4 linked regions of the Schizosaccharomyces pombe genome follow. Changing the gene in region 4 together with the main gene of any one other region gives a genetic interaction. Each region holds a gene or a part of one and is shown on either strand. Other genes may lie near its edges.

What was found.
Region 1: of smn1 (region 4) and nup97, a mutation in one rescues a mutant of the other (synthetic rescue), as found in Schizosaccharomyces pombe (one study listed by BioGRID).
Region 2: of smn1 (region 4) and inp53, a mutation in one rescues a mutant of the other (synthetic rescue), as found in Schizosaccharomyces pombe (one study listed by BioGRID).
Region 3: mutations in smn1 (region 4) and nem1 impair growth when combined (synthetic growth defect), as found in Schizosaccharomyces pombe (one study listed by BioGRID).

The regions. Positions count from the first base shown.
Region 1 is NC_003421.2:2,162,993-2,169,574, reverse strand, and holds nup97 (nuclear pore complex component nup97), read right to left. Parts: upstream 4,555-6,582; 5' UTR 4,544-4,554; coding exon 4,350-4,543; exon of another isoform or gene 4,301-4,349; coding exon 1,939-4,300; 3' UTR 1,777-1,938; downstream 1-1,776. Other genes in the region: SPOM_SPCC1620.12C (GTPase-activating protein), read left to right, coding at 1-1,776; protein Cwf26, read right to left, coding at 5,410-5,416, 5,457-6,355; transcription factor TFIIF complex alpha subunit Tfg1, read left to right, coding at 6,452-6,582. UniProt on the Schizosaccharomyces pombe protein: Has a role in meiosis.
Region 2 is NC_003424.3:1,986,585-1,993,304, forward strand, and holds inp53 (inositol polyphosphate phosphatase), read right to left. Parts: upstream 4,522-6,720; 5' UTR 4,392-4,521; coding exon 925-4,391; exon of another isoform or gene 888-924; coding exon 779-887; 3' UTR 674-778; downstream 1-673. Other genes in the region: PAK-like GC kinase Sid1, read left to right, coding at 1-644; mitotic septin Spn4, read right to left, coding at 5,203-6,345.
Region 3 is NC_003423.3:3,371,358-3,376,261, reverse strand, and holds nem1 (Nem1-Spo7 phosphatase complex catalytic subunit Nem1), read right to left. Parts: upstream 2,961-4,904; 5' UTR 2,798-2,960; coding exon 1,367-2,797; 3' UTR 710-1,366; downstream 1-709. Other genes in the region: U3 snoRNP-associated protein Utp3, read left to right, coding at 1-701; RNA polymerase I transcription factor subunit Rrn6, read left to right, coding at 4,078-4,904. UniProt on the Schizosaccharomyces pombe protein: Catalytic component of the nem1-spo7 complex which acts as a phosphatase and may be required for proper nuclear membrane morphology.
Region 4 is NC_003424.3:821,201-824,819, forward strand, and holds smn1 (SMN complex subunit Smn1/Gem1), read right to left. Parts: upstream 1,755-3,619; 5' UTR 1,650-1,754; coding exon 1,289-1,649; exon of another isoform or gene 1,230-1,288; coding exon 1,132-1,229; 3' UTR 892-1,131; downstream 1-891. Other genes in the region: protein phosphatase PP2C catalytic subunit Ptc3, read right to left, coding at 177-504; SPOM_SPAC2G11.09 (Ca(2+) transporter), read left to right, coding at 2,539-2,584, 2,694-3,619. UniProt on the Schizosaccharomyces pombe protein: The SMN complex catalyzes the assembly of small nuclear ribonucleoproteins (snRNPs), the building blocks of the spliceosome, and thereby plays an important role in the splicing of cellular pre-mRNAs.

The sequences.
Region 1 (6,582 bases), on a different chromosome or scaffold from region 4:
AGTTTAGACTACTCATCTCCTAGTTTGCAGCAAACGGAAGAACAGGATCGGGAACTTAATTTTATAGATTCTTCTATGTTGCGTCCCACTCCTCCCCAGGAAAGCGATAATCGCTTGGCCGTTGAAAAACCTAACATTCAACCTCTTCAAGGTCATTCCCCTGTTCCATCCTTTATGTCAACTGCATCTACCAATATTTCATCCTCCAAAATAAATAATAATCAAACAGAATTTGAACAATTACGCGATTCCTACAAGTCTCACGGCGATTTAAATAGCGCCATTAACGATTCACGTATTCAATCAATCATTTTCGAGCTTAATCAACAATGTGAAAAAGAGTCAATTCCCGTTTCTAATATCGATTGGCTTCAATGGGCCAGTGTGCCTCTTTTTGCTTATGACCTTCCGCCTGATCCTTCTAATCCCAATGCTACATCCTCCTCTCCCCCTCCCTTGACACCGATTTTAGAACTAATTAAACAAAATAACTTTTGTATTCCATCTCCGTGTCGAAAACTGGTCTGGCAATCCCTTGTTTCCGCTGAACGTAATGAACTTCTAACACTTTACGCTACTTTAAGTACTACTAATAATTCTTTGGATTCTTCTATTCGGAAGATTATTCGTATGCAATCTTTCAGAGGACCTTTGGAGCCTTTTAAATATTCTTCTACTACAAGGCATAAAGTTTCAACTGAGTCTATATTTCACGTTTTGCATGCTTTTACTTTGTTTGATACAACTGTTGAGTATAACATTGAACCTTTGCTATGGTTAACTTGTGCTTTTCTATCGTATATGGCTCAAGGAAACGCCTTCCGTTCGCTAGTTTGTTTCATTCAAAGAGGTGGAATTCGTGAGTTTTTCATATCCCAATCCAGTTCTCTTGACGAAAGTCTTTTCGCTTTGGTTTGGGGTTGTTTGGGTGACTTGGCACCAAGTGTCGCTATCTCATTACAACGTATAAAAGTTAGTTCATTGTGTATACTATATCCATCATTAGCATGCTGCTTTGCCGATTCGTTGCAATTACCCGAAGCACTCCGCCTTATGGATTTAATTGCTATCTACGGCTTGGAAATGTTTGTGCGTCTTCTTGTTGCTATTTTTTTAAAGGATCGGGACAAGATTGTAAATATGGTTTCTCATGAACAGTGGGTTAAGTATTTACGCTCAGACGTTTTAGCTTCATATCGGCAGCCTCTGGTCCAAAAGTATACATTTTACACAAGAACTCCTGTCGACTTAAATGCATGGGTTGAAGATTCACTTGCTCTAAACATCGATACTACTCAGTTCCCATCCTATCTTTCATATCACGAAACCTCCGTATCTCACAACACCTATCGCCAAAATAACTTAGAGGAACTTAAAAATCAAAATGATTATTTAACCTCTCAGATAACTAATTTAGAGGAGGGAATGGTTATGTTGAATAAGGAAAACACTAAACTTTCTGAAGCACTTTCCAACCATCGAGTAACAAGAAGCGAAATGGAGGAGGCTACAGAAATTTTAAAAAATAATTCTGCTGATCTGAAAGCTCAATTAGAGAAACAGCCTCAGGAATTGGAAAATAGGCTTCTTCAAGAAATCTCAATCCTTAAGCAGCGCAATCAAAAATTTCTTAAAAACAATGCTACTTCAATTCAACAAATACAATATCTTGATGAGGAACTTGGAAAGACTTTAAAGCAGCTAAATGACCTCAAGGAAAAACATGCTCAGCTACAAACTAAATGGAAAAGTGTCTCTGAGATGTTTAGAAATTAGCACGATAAACCAAAGATCACTCTTTATTGCTATTATTATTAACATGAAGACTAGTGCATTCAACACTTTTTTAATGATGGATAATTAGGACTCAATGAATGTATAGGCATAAAAATTTAGTGAAGTCAAGTAAACATAGAATAAACAACCTTAAAAAAATAATCATGTCATTTCTATTTCGCAGCGATTTAACTGTTCAAGAATTTGAGAAGGCATACGATATTCTATCAGGAAACTGTACATGACAATTCTTCGTGCTTTTTGTCTATATAGGCGTAACTTATCCACGGATATAGCGTCATTTCCAAAAGATGAAGATTTTTGTTTAGCATAAAGTTCTTTAAGGCTGTTCATGGCTATTAAAACAATACCAGGTACGTTTTGTAATAAATTTTCATTGAGAAATCGAAATTCTTTTGCAAGTTTTCTCACAACAAAAGTTTCACAGTCTGAGTCAAGTGGGTCAAGGGGTAAAATTTCTAACTGCTGTAAAGACGATAAAGCTTGTTCATAGTCTTTATTGGTATATGCATTGAACGCCTCCACAGTCAATAAAAGCAAATTCGTCGTCTCGCGATTTTTGTAATCCACTTTGGCATACAAAGAAGGGTTTCTGTTGTATACATCCATCATACTTTTAGTTAAAGATATAAGTTTATCGGGAAAAACAAACTGGTCCAAAAACCTTAGCAATGCAGAGCCCAGCCGTCTATTTATAACTGTTACTGCCGCATCGTAATCCTCAGCTAAATGATATAAAAGAATGGCATCAGATAATAATCCCTGATCATCAGCCTGTTTAGCAGCAGTAAGAGTGATTTTTGATAAGTATTCTTTTACAGAAGAAAGACCAATCAAAGACCTGTGATTCTCCAAAAAGGAAGGAGTCCTCTCGCCATCACCACGTATATCGCCAAGAAGATTAACATAATCACGAGTAGAAAGTACCAAACTGCACAGAGATTTATGACACATCGAGATATATTTATCAATTTTGCACATTGGTATAAGATAACAGGCAGACATTACAGGACTTAATTCTTGACAAGTTTGGGTATAATCGATTAACAACCGATCGAATTCAAGGGAAGGCTTCCCAGATTTTGTTTCAACCAGCATTGATTGAATCTTTCCAGGTTCATTACTGACAACTGAGCTAGAAGGTGCAGTGCGCAACAGACCGTAGTATGCGCAAGTAATGGCAAAATGGACTGCATCGGTTGGAAAATAAGGATATAAAAAATTAATGGCACGCTCGTAAAGACCACAAAGCATTAACAAAAAGAAGTACATAACGGGATTAGATCCGTTGTTAGTAAAATAATCGGAGCCATACGAAAGCAAAATATGTTGAACATCTTCCAATGAAAAAAATTCGTGAGCGGAAACGCTTTTTTCAGTAAATTCACGTGACAAAATTAACTGGAACCAGATGTAATCTTCAGTGACAGAACAAATCGATGGACACGAAGTTTTAGAAAGGTCGCAGCGTCCAATTATTTTGTATACTGCATACTTATAAGGATCAGAAGATTCCTGTAGACGAATGGTTTGATTAAACTCAGAAAACAATTGACTCCGAAGTTGCCTTGGTAAAATACCATTCGGAGCCTTCGCATAAGCATTGATATAAAAAGGAAATTTCTCAGCCACCTTTTCAAAAAGATCTCTGTTTTCTTCAGTAAAGTCCACTGCTTCCTTTAAAAAACCACATCGTAATAGATAGAATATGAAAGCCCATATAGGAACATCTTGGATTATTTCTAAATCTGGATTAATCCAAACACCGTTCCTTAATAGACGAATGTTCAAATACGCTCGAATTTTGTTACGTATTGAAGGAACACCGCCTACCAAAGCAGCCTGGGGGGTTTTTGCAATTTCCTTATTCAAAACTTCAAAAAATTGAGCTTCAAGGAACTTACGGGAACAGTCAGAAATCCTTTGATAGAACCGAGAGTTAACCGAGCCATCCTCAGTCTCAATGTCAAAGGCTTTTGAGATTATGCCTTTATTGCCAAACACTGTCACAGAATCCTTATCCAATATAACAGAGGAAAGTAACTTCCAGGATTCGTAAAGGAGAAGAGACTTTGTATCATGAGCAAATTCTCTTGCAACCTCACAAAAAGAACTGACAAGCTTTGATTGAAATCCGTGCAGTGCTTCCTCCTCAAGACACATTTTTAAAGTGGAAGCAAACTTCTGCGAACGTTGCACCGAGAAAGGATAAAAGGATACTCTCTTTTTATTTTCAAGTAAAATATTATCAAAGGAGGGTCTGCTTTTTGCAGCTTTGGAACGCCATTCCTCTTCCAAATATTGATCGAACGCTATTTGGGTGTTTTGTACCAATGCTTCCAAAGAATTTAAAACATTTTTTTCTCGATGATACTTCAAAAACATATCTACATCGGTAAAGGACAACTCGAGAGTAGTGGGAGGTCTTACTTGTAGAGAGAGCGACTCAATTTTCTTCCATGTTTGTTCGGCATTAATACCGCTTCCAGCAAGCAAATAATGGCTATATCGTTCATTAGACAAATATATCTAATAGGATACAAATAACTTACGCTTTTGTATTACCATCCTTACTAGTAGGAACGGTGTTCAAGTAATGTTTTGCGCGTTGTTCAATCTCACCCAAATTGAACTGGATAAACGGAAGACATGGTTCCAACAACTCATTAGCAAGTTTACGAGACTTTTGATCTAAAAAAGGTATGCCTCTAGCTTCCTTTGGTGAATCGTCAGACGCAACCGTCATGGCGATGGTCAAGATGTAAACAAGCACAATGCGTTTGAGAGAATCTGTCTCGGTGAACTAAGGAAATTGAAGTCACCGAGTTCACCGAACCTTAATTGTTAAAAACAATATTTCATACTAAACAGGTCAACAGTAAAACGTTAAAGAGTATTTGAATCATCCTTGTACTCGGTTGGAATTACAAATTCTTATGCAAAAAGCTTTGCTTTACGTATACAGCAAGTGTGAAGTCAAGTCTGTCTATGTGGATGTGAAAGGGCTTAAAAAGTATAAAATTAAAAATTTTAAAATACTATTTTCAAACATCGATTGTTCTCGTTTAGCTCTTACTATCATTTAAAAGCCAATACATATGAATTCACAGAATCAGCAGTGAATTATTTGGGCCCTTAGGGACAGCAATAGGGAAATGATATTTAATATTGGTAAAAAGTGTTCAGAATTTAGAGAAATAACTGAATGGATGATATTTCAAACCCTCTTACTACTAACAGCCGTGGTCGCTCATACTCATACGTTTAATGACCCATAATTGAATATAGGATTAAGAAATCGTCAGAAATTTAAAAATAAATATATATAAACTAGCAAAAAATATTTTAGTATAGATAAGGCTACCATTGTCTCGTGGTGTGCGATTTCCCAATAAAGCTATTTGCTATAAGCGTTTTGCTTTTGTAGGTAAATATCAAAGCCATTAGTTAATTAAAGGAAATGGGACAGAATCTGGAAAATCAAGTATTGTGCCTCGGTTGACACTCGTAAACTAGAAGAGATTATGTTCAACTCGCATTACAATATCATATACATGAAACCAAATAGTCTCCTCCATTTTCAGCAGAAGAAATAATGAAATCGTTAAATATTTACATGCTGATTTCGTTAGAGATTTATTCAAAAACTGATTACTTACTCCTCAATTGCCCACATATGTGCCTCGTGTTCTTGTGCCTTTCTCTCATTTTGGCGCTGAAACCATTTATTTTCAAATCCATTACCACGAATAATTCCATCCCAACGATGGCCAGGTCGTATATTAAACCTATTGGGAGGCGCATATCCTTGATAAGTAGCTTTTGATGATACAGGTTTATTAGTGAGAAACGAAGCAGCTGGGTCATTCCAACGAGACCTTTCTTTCAATTCCTTATTGTATTCAGGATCGTCCTCATAACGCGCCAATGGCACCGTTTTTTGCCTTTCAAGTTCTTTTAGGTATTCTTTCTGTTGACGCACTTGAACCACACCTTGTTGTTGTTCCTTCTGTCTTCTAGCTTCTTCCTCTTTCTCTTTTAATTTTCTTTTGGCTTCTTTTCTTGCAAGAACCAGATCTATCCTTCTCCCTGTGGCATCTCTGTAAACAGTTTCGCGACTTTTGCGAAGCTCTTCCTCATCAAGATTGGATGATTTCTCTTCTCTCTTTCTTCTTTCTTCAGCTTTAAAGGTCACCTGCTTTCCAGTTAACAGACCGAACTGAGGAATTGATTCAGCATCATGAGAATCCTGTTGTTCAGATTCGACAACTTCATCATTCCCCACAGCTTTCCACAACTGAGCAGGTTTATTAGTAGTTTTTTCTATATTCTGATAAATAGCATCAATATCTCGATCTTTAAGGCTTTCATTTGCGACAATTGTAGGGGCATCATGCAAAGATGTGAGTTCTCTGTTGACTAGTGAAAATGAATTGTCATCGTCCCATCCAGCGACATCTTCATCCTGAATTTCTACAAAATCCTTCTCTTTCTTCTTTTTCTTTTTCCCTTGATCTTTTCGTAAATACTTTTTAGCAATATAGTCGGCGTTTGACATATGTGCTGAATGCATATTTTCTTACCTGAGCGCTTCTTAACTCGCTACCTTCCAACACCGGCGGAAGATCAGTATTGACATATTTTATCGGAGAACATGGATTCACAAGAGACAAAAGTTTTTGAAAATGTAAAGCAGGAAAATCCTGATGAGAAGAAACCCAAAGTTGAGGAGCCTGACTCCCAAAATAATGCTTCGACACAATCGCAGCAAAAATTTTTGGATTT
Region 2 (6,720 bases), 1.2 Mb from region 4:
CATTCATCAAAAGCGCAGGAACTGTGAAAGACATTATTCCTTTGCTTGTTCAGAAGGAGAATAAATTATTTGATGATTCGGATCAAAGTGTATTGGAAGAAACCATAAATAATACTTTAAAGCCCTTTGAAGAACCAATTGCTGAAGGAAATGCTGACATTGAGGATTGGACATTTGAAACTGTAAAGAAATCTGACTCAACTGTGTTAGGGAATACTAGCATTCCTAAAAATTCCATCATCAGTTCACAAAATAAAGAGGAATTGCCTTCATCAATAAAATATTTAGAGAAAACTATAATGAGTGATCAAGCGACACCGCATCCTTTTTCCAAGTCATTGTCTGAAAAAGGTAGCTCTTATCATAAATCGTTGACTTCCGATTTTGCTATGAAACATTATATTAAGTCCACCATACGATCGATGTTATTAAATGATAAATTGTCAGCAACGCAGCGCTCATCTTTAGAATCTTTTTATACATCTTTCATTTCTTTAGATAAAAATCTGTCCTCAAAATTTGTTAACCAAATTACTCCAGACAACAGACTGCATCACAAAAAGCAAAAGCGGAGCCCCATATCACAACTACTATTTTCACGGTGGCTTGAAGAAACTGAGAAAAGAAGAAGTCTAAATGGATAGCTTACTAAAAACTCGTAAACAACCTGTTTACAGCATTCACAATTTTGTATTTAAATGAACTTATAATGGCATATTCTACTATAATTTAATCTACATAATATATATAAACACATCCAAACGAGAACTATTCGAAATCAACTTGACACTTGCTTTAAAGCATTTTGTACATTCCAGTTATTTCCAGACAAATATTGTTCAGCCGTTTGATAAGACACAGAAGTATAATTCATGACATAGGTTATTCTGGTTGGTTAGCAAAATTCTCCAAAAAAAAACATACTTAGCCTTTCTCTTAAATTCATCAGCATACTCAATCCACTTTCGTTTGACCACGTCCCATGTGGACCCCTGAGATTGCGCATTTACCATCTTCGCTTTGGAATGTATTAAAGCAGATACTGGTCGGTGATCTGATGCCTTCAGTTCGTACCTGGTATAGTTTTCTGCAGAGATGTAGTCGGGACTTCCACGATAACAGATACGATCACACCAGGCAGGCACACGCTTTTTTTCACTACTGTCGTACTGCTCACTATGAACGTCGTACTTGTAAGTTGGGGCAAACGTGATTTCTGGTTCAGTAAATGTTCTCAGACGAAATCCGGCATTTCTTTTTCGCTCAACAAGAAGCTGATCGCTTTGGAGCAAAGTTTTTATGTCGTTTTTTTTAATTAAATCTAAAGCTTTAGGTCTCAATGTGTTGATTCTATAATTTAAATCACCATGCAAAACACAAACTTCGTGATCCATAATTAAAGAGCCATCGCCACCACCAACGAATGTATTCAATTGATCAGTTTCATCATTTTCAGGAAAAAGAGAAGCATTGTCTAAAATTGTTGCCAAATCATTATTTCTGGCTGCTTTATTGGATTGACCAGCAGCCAAATGACAGTTTACTATGCAATATGAAGTATCATCTACCAGAAAGCGAACGACTATTGCACCTTTGTTACCATGCAAACCACCTAGTCCCGTTTTTACAGTTGTCGATTGTAACATCCGAATTTTGCTTTGTAACTTATTTTTTACAAAAACACATGAGAAAAGACCAACCAAATTTTCACATACCAAAACCTGATAATCATCGTTTGAGCTTACCCGCATCATTTCAGATTCTAATTTTTCACGCCATAAACGATACTGACTGGAAATATTAGCACTGTTAGACGAACCACCTTTGGAGCTCGACTTTGAAAGGATGCTTCTAGCTGTGAGTCTTTTATTCTCCAAATCAACTAGCTCTTGAAAACCAAACACAACTATATCTGGGTATCCATTGTCTCGAATCATCATTGGAATCATACTAGCTCCAATAGTATCACTATCTAGATCAGATGGCTTTGAAGCTCCGGCATTCCAGGAACAAATAAGTATAGACACGTCAGTAAAATTACTATATTCTGGGAAGCGGCTTCGCATTTCGGTAGCTAACCAGTCACCCATCATTAAACCATCCCAAAACTTGACAACTGAAGAAGCCATACTAACAACTTGGAGCCTTTTAGCTTTCCATACGCTATTCACATCAATACCAAGTATAGTGGTAGCTCCATTGTGACTTGCTTTATGACCATGCCAACTTTTTAAGAGGCGCCAAGGACTCTCAGAAACATCAAATACGTAAATCATGCCTGTCGTGTAGGCTGCCCAAAGTGTATTTCCAACACCAACTAGTGAACAAATTCTATAGAATGAACTGCTAGTAATTAGCTCCAAAAAACGGTATTGGGTTTTCGAAAAGATGGATATTTTTCCATCAACGTGACCATAGAAGACCAAATCCGTAAAGTTTGAAATAGTAGTGCCACAAGAGATATCACCTATCAAACCAGGTGGAGTCATGGGCTTCGCCAAAACACTTGCCGACTCATTTTCTGAAGTTGAAGGATCATATACATAAATTGATTTCCCAACAACAACCCATAAAAGCCGATTATCTAAAACCATAGCATGAGTGGCATGAGGAATGGTGCGAATACTATGTGGAGTAGACTGTATACTTAAACCCATAATTTCATCTTCCTGCCATACATACAGTTTTCCCATATCGTCCAACGTCCACATTTCATTTTTATAGACCATAACGTAAGTAATAGGACAATTGGAAACAGACTTCTTAGTAACGATATGATGATTTTGAACATCGACTTCCCATAACATCCCATCTCTCGTTCCAAACCAAACAAATCTGCCATCGTCAGAGTAATTCTCCGGGGATGATTTAAATGATAAGGACGTTACCTTCGTATCCCCTAGAGGCATATGCCAATGACAAAGACCAGTAACGGTGTCATAAACACGAAGTCCTCCGTTTCCAGCTAAAACAAGGCGATCACCACTAACATCAAAGATTCTAGCTTCAAAATCTACGTTAATTGATTCAACACCGTTAACAAAACAGGGCGGGTTCCTCCTAACGCTAGAAGTATCTGGTATGCTTCCTTTTAAAACAACATCTAATTGCGATGACGAAGAGGAACTAGCAGCAACAGAAGGATCACTTTGCTCAGTAGAAACAGGCATAGAGACAGGTTTGTTAGTAGCTAAGGATTTCACCCTCGGTGGTGGTGGAGGAAACAAAGGGGATGGTTTAGAAGATAAGTTTTCAGATGTTAAAGCTGGACTAGACAGTTCTGATAAAGTGTGACTAGGACGGGGAGGTAATCTGGGTTTCTCAGGTATTAAAGACATCTCTGATGCAGGAGCAATATGAGTGTAGGGAGACGACTGTAAACCAGTAACAAGACTGGCGTCACTTTTAGTAGCCAAATTCTCTATTGGGGAAGAAGAGCGCTGGGTAGAAACTTTACGCAGCGGTGGTTTTGGGGGCTTTCGGGGAGATACATGAAGCGGTAATTGTTGAGATATTACCGCACGCGATTGCTGTATAGCCTCAACAGCAACTGGCTGTGGAGGTCTTGGAGAGGGAATTGGAGGAGGAGTTTCCAAAGACCTGTCTCCAATGTTCAAAACAGGAGGCGCCGTCGATATGGGACACTCCTTTCCAAAGGTCTGGCTAAATGGATCATGCAAATCAAAGGAGGGCACACTTTTACTAGAATTGATAACGTTTTCTTCTTCTTCTTCAGAAGACAGAACCGAAGAGGCTTCGGAGTGAGTTGGAGACTGAGAAATATATGCCTTAACATTTTTTAATGGAGATACAGATATCGGGCTTGAAGAACCTGCTTTCGAAGAAAAATTGGGTTTAGGGGGTGGTATTTGATGATTATTGGTATCATCGTGTTTCATTAGATCATTTCCTTTGGTAGATTGTACAGATGATTGAAAAGAAATTTCAGGCCCTTTTTGTTGAGGTCGCTTAAGTAATGGAGAAACAGAAACAAATGAATTAGATATAGTAGGAGAAGATGGAGTAGCTACGTGAGATTCAGAAGAATCACTAGGTAGACGATCTATTTTTGAAACATCAGCGTGGGGGTTTGAAGGATTTTTAAAATTAGAAGCTAGCCTTTGAATTGAACCACTAACTTTTCGTCCAGTCGAACTTCCTATAGTCGATGAGACTTGCCTCGGCGGTGGAATAGGTCTTGCTTTAAAAACGTTTGGCTCAGAAGTGCCATTTTTACAACCTTTTACAGTTCTTCTTTTAGCAGTTTTTTCGTCCAAATTAGTTAGGTCACCGGTACTCAATGACTCGAACTTTGATTTCAATGATAAAACCGAAGGGGGCAACTCGGGTTCATCTTCATTCACATTGCTGAAGCCTTGGCGAGAGGCCATGTTCCATGATTACGACAATCTTATGCTTTAAATCAATTTTTTAAATAAATCACCTTTTTTAAATACTTCTAAAATCTATTAGGTGCTGTTTGGACCTTTTGCGCTTTTCAGCTAATTGTTGGAAAAAGACAACCAAGACACTGCGTGGGCTGACCTATTATGAAATAAACAAAGCCTCGTGCACTCAAACACACGCATCAACAATACTCCAAATAATCATTTTTACAGAAAACAAAAGGGAAGATGATGTAGAAATTCGCATAATACAAATTAGGAATTCCAAAAAACTATCAAATATTTTTTAGGCATTTGTATTGCTTAACTAAATAGTTTACTTCACATTTATAGAAACAATTTTGAAAGCCATTCTCAAGGCAATGAAAGATCATATTGTCATGTAGCTAAATATTTGTAACATATTATTAAGCATTGACTATAAACACACATTGCACAATTTTATTTCAGAAAGACACAAAACGAGAAATTTTAAGTACTTATGCAAGAAATTTTATAAGATACAGAAAATTTATTCGATATCAAAATTATATAAAAATTGAGCAACTTATGAAAGCATATGTACTATACGTTGAATAAAACCACAATAAAAGAGTGTATAAAGGCATAGAAAAAATAAAATAAAATCATATAGTTAATTGATTGTCTAAAGAATGTAATTTATACGGGAGGCAAGATAGACGTTTGACATTATGTATTAGAAATGAAGGACCATAAAAGATGATAGTATGGTTCACTAGCAAACAAACCCAAATGATAATTGGGTATCAAGTTTCGTTATATTTTAACATTATCTCTAACGTTTGCGAGAGCTGGTAGCCGCCTTTAGTCGTTCGATTTCAAGTTCAATTTGTTTTATTTGAACATGCTGAGCTTCCAAATCTTTATTTAATGAGTCGCGTTCGGCAATCAAGCGTTGTTCCCATTGTCGAAATCGAGTTTCTTCTACGCGCACTTGTTCTGTAAATCTTTTTCTCAAATTTTCTTCTTCTTCCTTAAATTTCGCATTATCAATAGTCCGCAGTTTAGGTTCTCCATACTGGCGAACTTTCATCTGCTCTTGTCGATATTGCTCATACAACTTTTCTTCAGTAGTTTGAATCAAATCAAGCATACAACTCCGAATTAAAATATTCCTAAGCTGTTTAAAGTCGCAGTGTTCTTCGTTCTCAATTTCAACAATTCCCCATGGGTATTCTCTACCCTTAACGACCCTACCATCAGGAGTACGGATGTCATCTTCGCTTCCAACAATCGCGAATGGCATGCAATTAATGATTCCTTGAATTTGTCTGTGAAAAACGGGATCGCCCTCATCCATATTAGGTTTATAAACATTGACTTGATGGTATTCTAAAACTTGAGAAATTCTAGTTTTATACAGAGCTAAATCCCTTCGAGTATACATATCGGCTTTAGCTATGACAGGAATTAAATTGACACGCTTAGAAATATGTTTCATAGCCTCCAAATCCATAGGCCGAACACCATTTCTTACGGGACGCAAAAAATATAGGCAAGCATGAATACGCATATCAATGATCTTACGACGATCTGGCTGCTGATCTTGTCTCATGTACGATTCATGCTGGTCTTCTATAAATTCAACTACCGACTCCCAACATCCTGAATTATTGATAAAATCCCCAAAACCAGGGGTATCAATTACTGTCAACCTTAAGTGGAAATTTTTTTCTTCTAACTCAGCTTTTGTAATCTCTATTTCGACCGTTTTCTCAGCATGCTTCGCACGAACCTTTTCCGGGCCCATATGTGATTTAATTGTTGTTGAAAAGAGTGTATTACAAAATGTTGTTTTACCAAGACCCGACTCTCCACAAAGCATCAAAGTGAAAGCTACACCATTTCGTGAAACTATTTTGTGACGCTGATTAGGTAAATCCGCAATTCCAACGAAGTTTGTCTCTTCTTCATTCATGACGCGCAGAGATGAATAGTATATTTCCTTTGTTTAACGGTCTGTAAAATATTGACTTAAAAGCTTCCAAACTAAATAAAAAAGTTTCCAAAAAATGCAAGAGAATTGTTATTAGTTTTATTAAAGCATAAATGGTAAAAAACGGAAGGTCTAAGTAAATAGATAATCGAAGCTTCGTTGCAATCACTCGTTAGCGATATAACTATATGATCACTATACCTCATTATATTTTTAACGGGCTTTCGTCTCGTAAATATACTAACTATCATTACTAGTTTGCTCATTAAATTTCATAAAGATTCTGAATGCCAGAAATTATGCTTGGCAAATATATAAAAACCTCTATACTACGTAACAGAAATAGATTGCTGGGAA
Region 3 (4,904 bases), on a different chromosome or scaffold from region 4:
CTAAATCTAAAATTAATACTAATATTAAAAATCTCGATGACTATGGTGAAGGCAACAGATTGGACGATGTTGATGCTGAAGACAAGATTGCTAGGAAACGCTCTTTAAAGTTTTATGCTAATCAAATTGACCAAAAGGCAGCTAAGCGTTCCAGAGCGGTACTGGAGTTATCAGGTGATTTGGACATGCCATACAAAGAACGAAGATTTGAACGCCAGCAGCGATTGATGAGAGAAGCTGCAGCCAGGGGTCGAAATCAGGATGCTGGTGCTGATCTTGATGATGAAGATCCGGAATCAATGGGCATACCTGCAAATGTCGATCGTGAAGTTGAAGATCAAGATGATTTGGATTATTACGAGTCTCTCGATAAAAAATCAAAGATGGCTAAAAAGCTCCGTAAAGAAAATCACGATCTCGAACGTGATTTAATAAGAGCTTCAAGGCACCCAGAACTAATTGAATTAGGTGAAGGTGATAAGCGTGGAATTACTTTAGACATTGCTAAAAATAGAGGATTAACTCCCCGTCGACCTAAAGAAAATAGAAATCCTCGACTTAAAAAGCGTATGCGCTACGAAAAAGCTAAGAAGAAATTAGCCAGCAAAAAGGCTATTTACAAGGGCGCACCACAGGGCGGCTATGCTGGTGAGCAGACTGGTATTAAAGCTGGTTTAGTTAAAAGTATTAAACTTCAATAGAAGTGGTGGTTGGTATTGATTCAACTATTAATTCTGCATATATTAGGTTTTTTGAATTTTCGTGTTATTAGATACATATAATAATAATGTGGTTTTGGGTTATGTTATTTGCTAGAACAATGTCGTTAGCCTAGTGATATGATTTTAAAATGCTAAAAGTCTATGTAATCTGGTTTATAATCATTAAATCATTTATAATCCTTTGCCCATCCTGATTAAGTAAGTTGATTGTAATAACAGATTGAAAAGTAAAAAAAAAAGAATCAACACTTAAATAGAATAAACATGTTTATTAAAAGCTTGATTTAGAAAGAAATTTCATAAGTAAGTTGCCTTCGTAATTGCTGCGAACATCAGTGCAGAAACTAATCTTTCTTAAAACATGCGTTTAGTTTATTAGAAAGAATTTCTTACGATTAGGCTTACATTAATTGACATATTATCAGCAAAAAGAAACAAAAATTATTTAACTGGAATGGCCCAAATGCGGTCTAGGAAATATCCAAAAGGTACCCTTTTGAGGTTATAACAAAGAAGTTTGATGATGAGAAAGGAAAGGCACCCAAGATGTTAATGCAGTAGAAAAAGTTATTTTAGACCATCGTTACTGGTGATAAATAACGAGTAAATTACTCACGAAAAAAAAAAGGAATCATGAAAAGCACTTATTTTGCGAGACGAAGCCCCAAAAGATCTCGCACATCATGAACATATTGCAGTGCATGAAGAAAAGAAAGTAAGTTTAGTAAATCAACGTCAGAGGGGTCGCTAATCCAACCTTCAATAGGTATGGCATTTTCTTTATGAGCATTGTAACTGGCTGGAGAATTATCAATTATCATGATCCGTGAAAGATGAATATTACAAATGGAAATATCTTTAACGAAAGAACTATCGACAAGTGCACAGTGTTGACGGTAGTATCGTTTAGCAAATATTTTTTTATCACGCTCCAAATAATCAATTATTGGATCAGCATATGGCTGGACAGATGCTGTGAACAAAATAAGGCGAAACCATTGACTCACATTTGATAAAAAGTAGTCAAGATGAGGCCTTTTGTGAATATAGTAAAGGATTGGATGTTCACCAGGCACATGTACTTCAATTGGCTGTCCAGAAGTCGTTCGACTACCACGAGACACGGAATGGATAAGTGTTTCATCCAAATCTAATACAAGGGTCTTTCTCGGTAACTTGCTATTCAACAAAGGCCTCGGTATTTTGTCCGCACACAGAGTAATGTTTCTAATACGGAGACGGGAAGAAGAAGGAGATTTAAGAGGATCATTAACTATCGTAAAGGAGGAAGGCAGCTTAGAAATATTGTCATTAGCAGGCGGGGAAAACTGAGTTGATTGAGGTTGATGCGAATGTCCTGAACGATTGGAATTTGCTTTTCCCATTAGGGAGACCTCTTTGGGTTTCATAGGAGAAACACACACATCTTCTTCTGAATTCAATGAATTTGAAAAAGAATTGAAAGAAATTTCTTCTTCTGCAATAGAGGGCTGAAAACGAACATGATTTCCATTAGAAGAACTGCTATAAGAATTAGAAGATCTATGTCGTTTGAAAGATGAATAGGCAGGATCCTGGTGAGAGGATGGGTAAGAATAAGAAGAATAAAACCTAGGACGGCGGACACTTGGCTGAGGGGGAAGCATCTCTCGGCGTTTATACGATAATAATACAGGAAAAAAGACAAACCGGCATAGACCCCAAAAAAAACTTGCAAGGGTAAACTCTTTCTCTTCATTCAAAAAGTGGTACAAAAATACACGAGCGGAATGAACGAAAAACGTATAAATTCGTTTCAGGAACACACGAATCCAGTAGACGACAACACGCATAATGTTGGCATGCTTCGGTTTTTCATTCCTTGTAGGAACTTCCTTTTCCGTCGGTTTTGATGACAAACTGCTAAGGCTGGACGCCGAATAAGACGATCTACGACGATTATAATGCCTCAAAGTAGCTGATGAAGCTCGCCCCCGAGCATTAGCAAGTTTTTCTTTGTCAGCTTCATCGTCGTCTAAAGGAGTGGCAAGGATTGCTTTATTAATTTCATCTGATAGCCTAGCAATCGAATTCATTACAATTATTTTCTCTCTGCTGCGATTGCAAAGAATTAAAAAATTCACCAAAAGAAGCGATGCATACAAAGTATACAACGACCAAGCAGAGTCCTTTTAGTAAAAAAGAGTAATTAATTAAATATGTGTTAGTTAGACCTAAAATATGTGGGAAAACAAAGCCAGAATCACACGGTGGTACGATGCACAATATATATAATGATGAACTACAACCCAAATAATAACATTTTCATAAGACGTAATGCTTAAGAAGATATATCAAAACTACCTTAAAGTAACAAATTTAAATGTAAACAATACGGTGTAAATATTTATTAAGTTCGTAAAATGAAAGTTCATTGCAGAAGCTTTCATTTTTTTTAACTAATAAACTTTACTTGTATGGGTTTCTGTGCAAGAAAAATTAATTTTCATTTTATTAAAAGTCTAAATATTTGTAGAAGCTAGCTTAATTGCCATTCTTTTAATCAACGTTTTGCTAGAATGTAAGTCGCCGAGCGGTCTTTTTAGGTTTCTTGACATTACTTGAAAGATGCTTTTAAGTCTAAATATATTTAATGGTACGTTAAAATGTATCAAGCTCCTTTAGACGTTGCATACAATAAATTACTTACAAATAACAGGCTGAACTAACTTATTGACTTTACAAAATTATAAACATATCGATAAAATTGGTTAAGCGGACACTAAAGAGAATTCAAAACACTTGCTAATCTGAATATTGCACTCTTCCTCAGGTATCAGCACCTCCTTACGTATTTTTTATGAAAAGGGAAAACTGGGCTAATGCAACATTCGTAAACCAATTTATCTATTGCTAAATCATTCCAAAATCGTAAGCGTTTGCATTTCATTGTAAAGGAGATTGTTTTGTTGCTGTGTTAATCTACATGTAATTGATAGCAGCTTAGAGACTTCGGAGAAGAACTCCTCTCCTACTTGAACACTGTCTTATGACTAATTTAAGTATTACTTTTAAACTTCATCTTTTTCTAGTAAAGAGAAATTCTCAGTTAACATAAATCAATAAATTGTTCAATTGAAAGCATGTAGTCGGTAGGAGTTATATTTTATATAATTATATAATGGTTTAAAGATAGCACTTTAAATATATTATAGTATAACAATAAAGTCAAGTTCTTAACTATAGGTGAAATTACTCCAGCATTGCTTCCTTGAAACACTGATTACTTGCTTTGTCGCTAGGTTGCTCTTGTATTGTCGTTAGATGTGTTTTTGTAAACACAATTCAATCTAATTTTATTTTTCTAATTATCTTCATGTCAACATGGCCTATTGATGCAATTAGTAAAAAACCTAGTGTAAGTTTGGATTATGGAATTATAGGGGCGTGTCAACTTTTAAATCCATCTGGCTATCACAGAGCGGAGAAGGTTGAAAATAATGAATGGACTTTTGCTAGGTATGACTCCTATACGGGCGTCGAGCTTGTTGACTTGGACAAAAGATGGGATATCTTATCTTTAAATCCAAACTACAAACTCCCTAAATTAACTGAGCTTCCTGCTGAGGCCACCAATTCCACGCGTAAAGCGACTAGTAGTTCATTTGGTTTAAGTGTTTGCAGATATGTTCCGCGAAATTTATTTTCTACACTAGCGAAAGAGTCTCAATTAGCTTCTTCTGCTGAGTCTATATATAATCCACATATTTTAAATACTTTTTGCTTGGGTAAAACAGCGCCATCAGATAAAAACAGATACACCACAACTGAATGTCTTGCTTGTAGCAAGATTAGCAATGAAACTGCGGAAAATCTCCTCTTTTTATGCCTCTCGTCTCCATGGATTTTTCGTGCATCTCCGACATTACAAAATACTGCAACTTTTGAAGAATTCCCATTTTACTTGAATGTATCGGCTTTTGAGTTTGCTGAGGATCCAATATGGAAATTCTCACAACCAGTGAGACAATTGGTTTTCTCTAATGGAGAACCAAGTTTGCTCTTCGCATTATCGTCTTGTGAGTTGGTTATATTCCAGGTAACTTATGATTTAATGTTCTTAGATGAGCCAAATACACCTGGATGCTTGTCCGCTATACCTCTGCGTTTTTTGTACGCAGATGATGTTTATAATTCTGACTC
Region 4 (3,619 bases):
ACATCAAGAGGTAAACATTTCTATTATCTTGGTAACAATTTTTCTAAGCATTAACTAGACAAAAGAACAAAAAATCTATAAAAATTTCAAACACAAAATTCATCAATTTTTTGGCGACTTTAAAATGGTTATGATATCAATGAAAACAACTTTATCATTGTTAACAACAAACTTACCATCCAAAATAGCTTTATCAGCATTTAAAAATGAAGATTTCAAAGCATTAACAAAATCGCCTTTCTGAAAATCAGGATTCTTTTCAAGAATCTGAGGAAGATTGCTTCCACACCATTTCGCGACTTTGTCTCCACCGTGGCCGTCATAAACCGCAAAAAAGTCGACCGGGTCTTTTACTGCAGAGCACTCCATTGAAAGTATAGCAGAATGAGCATCTTCCATTGAGATACGCCATCCTTGCATGCTTGAAAGTCCATAAAGGACGAACTCATTGCTCCCGTTCACCGAGTGCTTCTCGGTGACTGGCTCTGATAATGTCTGACCCATTGACAGCTCTTGCTAATAGATGACACAAATTTTCACGTTTTCTTTTTGTGTCGCTTCAAAACGGGTTATGTAGTAGTGATAGGTAAATCGCTAGTAGGTGGTGGAGCTTGTCGGAGGGAGTGTTGTGGCACCCTCTACAACTACATCACCACCGTGGAGACGAACGATAGTTGTTAAAAGACTATGGAAGGTAACAAGATTAGCAGTAGTCAAGGCATATATGTAAACAACAGAATAAATGGTATCAAGGACTAAATACTTATAAATTTCAAATGTTCATTAAAAAACATGTGTAAACATAGCATATCCTATAAATTGATTTTTCAATGGTTTGCATTTTACTATGACTACAATAGAGACAAAAACAACGCTGAGTAGAATGCCCCAACAAATTCAGCAACTTGATTCAGAAAAAATTTCTATTAGGCAAAAATGATATTATTTTGATTCAATTAAAAATTCCATTGGATTTAATAAATGACCAAATAAATTCTACTTATTAGAAAGAAAATTGAAATAGAACTATTTGATAGGAGTAATAAATCTTAGCAATAGCAAGTAGGATAACAGTTTTATAACAACATCAACAATGAAGATATACATAACTTTGAAAAATAGCACAAGAAGCTAATCTTTACGTTGCTCACTTTTAGCAAGTCCTTCAGCTAAACCTGTATAGTAGCCCGCATAGTACCAGCTCATGATAAGCTTTTTGTAAGTCTCGTCTAAATCATTATGTTAATAATAGAGAGTCATAAATTTTCTTAGAAGACCTTTTACTTACCATATGTTAACCCTCTTATAGGGGGAGGAACTTCCATAAACTCTTGATGTGTCTCTGCTGCCCTTGTTTCAGGCTTTTCGTCGCTAAGGCCTTTATTATCTGCAAACTGTTGGATATGTGTATCTCCTTCCAATGTCGTCTCTGTTTGCTGATTTATCATCTGCTCACCTTCTTCTAGCTTACTTATTGATTCTTCTGTCCGTGCAGCTGAAATTAATTTTTCACCATCTAGCCTAGAATCCGGGTCCGATACTCCTCCCTTTGCTTCAATACTATGATACTTTTTGAATTCATGTAAAGCGGTTTCAAAGGCATTTCTGAGCTCTGAATCATCCCACACTTCTTTTTGGCTCTGGTCCATTTTTGGTACAAGTTGTAGATAATCTATTCCTGTATGTCTTTCTTTGTACCTTAAGAAAGCTTTATTAACAAGTAGTTTCCAACTTTGTTAACTCTTATATTAATTGAATATTATTAAAGTGAAAATATTGTTTATAAAGCACAACGCGTATAACGATAAACAGTTTGAGCTCGGCGATTCCGCTTACTACAACAATTATAATCTGCTGTGGTAACTTAGCTCCTTGCCTTAACTATCAGCCGCCTTAGTGGACAGGACTACAAGAATTCGAGGTCAAAGATATAACGAGGTTCGCACATGGCGATGTGAACTCGTGGAAGTATTGTGAAAGAATGTTTATTCCAATTCATCTTTGTTTACGATTTTGGCTTTATTATACCAAAAAGAAAAAGGAATTGTATAAGCTACAAAAATCAACCTAAATCAGTTATCTAATATCCACACGAATAATTCATTAAATGCTACATGCGCTAATATGGTTTAGCGAGGACTTCTCAGTAAGTTAGCTTTCTGGGATAGATTTTAAACTACCTAATTGAATTTAAGGTAGCTCCACGTAATTACGTTACATATTTTTATGCATCGTCATCTTAATTTACGTTAAGTACATATCGCATTCTGAAAGACCATGCGAATGGGTATTGGATGAGTATCGTTCTACTATCCCTCCTCTACATACATTCATATTTTAAAGATTTTCGTTCATGAAAAACTATCATAACATATTTCAATAGTGTATCTTTTGATAATTTCCTTTTTCCGTTACTTTTTACATGCATATAATACTTGGATAGATCAGATTTTTCTTGTTCTCGATTTTCTGAAACGATCGTTCATTCATTCCTCGATAATTTGACGAAAGGACCCTTAAGTTTGCTACTTTGCAATAATGGCTTTCAATGGATATGGTATTTTCGACAGTGATCCTAGAAAAAGTAAGTATACCTATCCTTCCCTCATTTGTAACAAAATTGCTAACGTTGTTTGAATCTTCGATCTGCGGGTGTTAATTCCTACAGATTCGAGATTCATCGCTGAAAACAGATCCATCGAGCGATTTAAGAACTCAATTTTGGCTCGCCTTTTTACTTGGAGCCTCTGCATGCGTATTCTTTTGCTTCTTTCGTAAAAGATGGAAAGTACTATATGCCCCTAGAACTACCATTGAAGGTCTCAATTTACCTACACTTTCTTCATCGTACTACAAATGGTTAATGGATTTAGTAAACATCCCTGATGATGTAGTGCAAAATTGTGCTGGTTTGGACGGCTACGTTTTTTTATTGTTTTTTAAAATGGGTATAAAATTCCTTTCTTTTGCTTCCCTGCTTGGCGTTTTGATTATTATGCCCGTCAATAAGCATTTTCGTGGAGATGCATTCGGGAATATTACTTTGTCGATGCCTGCCAAATCTGAATATTTCTTCTCAAGTCCACTTGTCAAGAAGTCAATTGTACAATCTCCTATTATTGCTAATGGTAGTGAGTTAAATGTTGGTGTGTTAGGACCTTCTTTATTTAATCCAATTGGTAATTTATCTGATATACCAGGTCTTCCACAGCCTGGTGATGGATTTCTCTATCTTTACGTTCTTTTTACTTACTTTATTTCCATTTTTCTTCTTTATGTTCTTTTTTCCTCAACAAAATCGATTGCTGACATTCGTCAATCATATCTGGCTCGTCAAAATAGATTGACGGACAGAACCGTTTTTATATCTGGTTTACCTAATGAACTTTGTTCAACGGAAAATTTAAAAGCATATTTTGATAAATTAGATGTGGGTTCTATAGACAGTTTAAGTATATGCCGAAATTACTCATACATGGATATATTACTGTCTAAAAAAAGTAAATACGTCAAGAAATTAGAAAAATATTGGTCTATCTATTTAAGTAACTGCAAAAAGCTTGGAATTTCCACTTTACCTCCTTCGAATTATCTTAGTCCAAACAGAGCAGAACTTGAA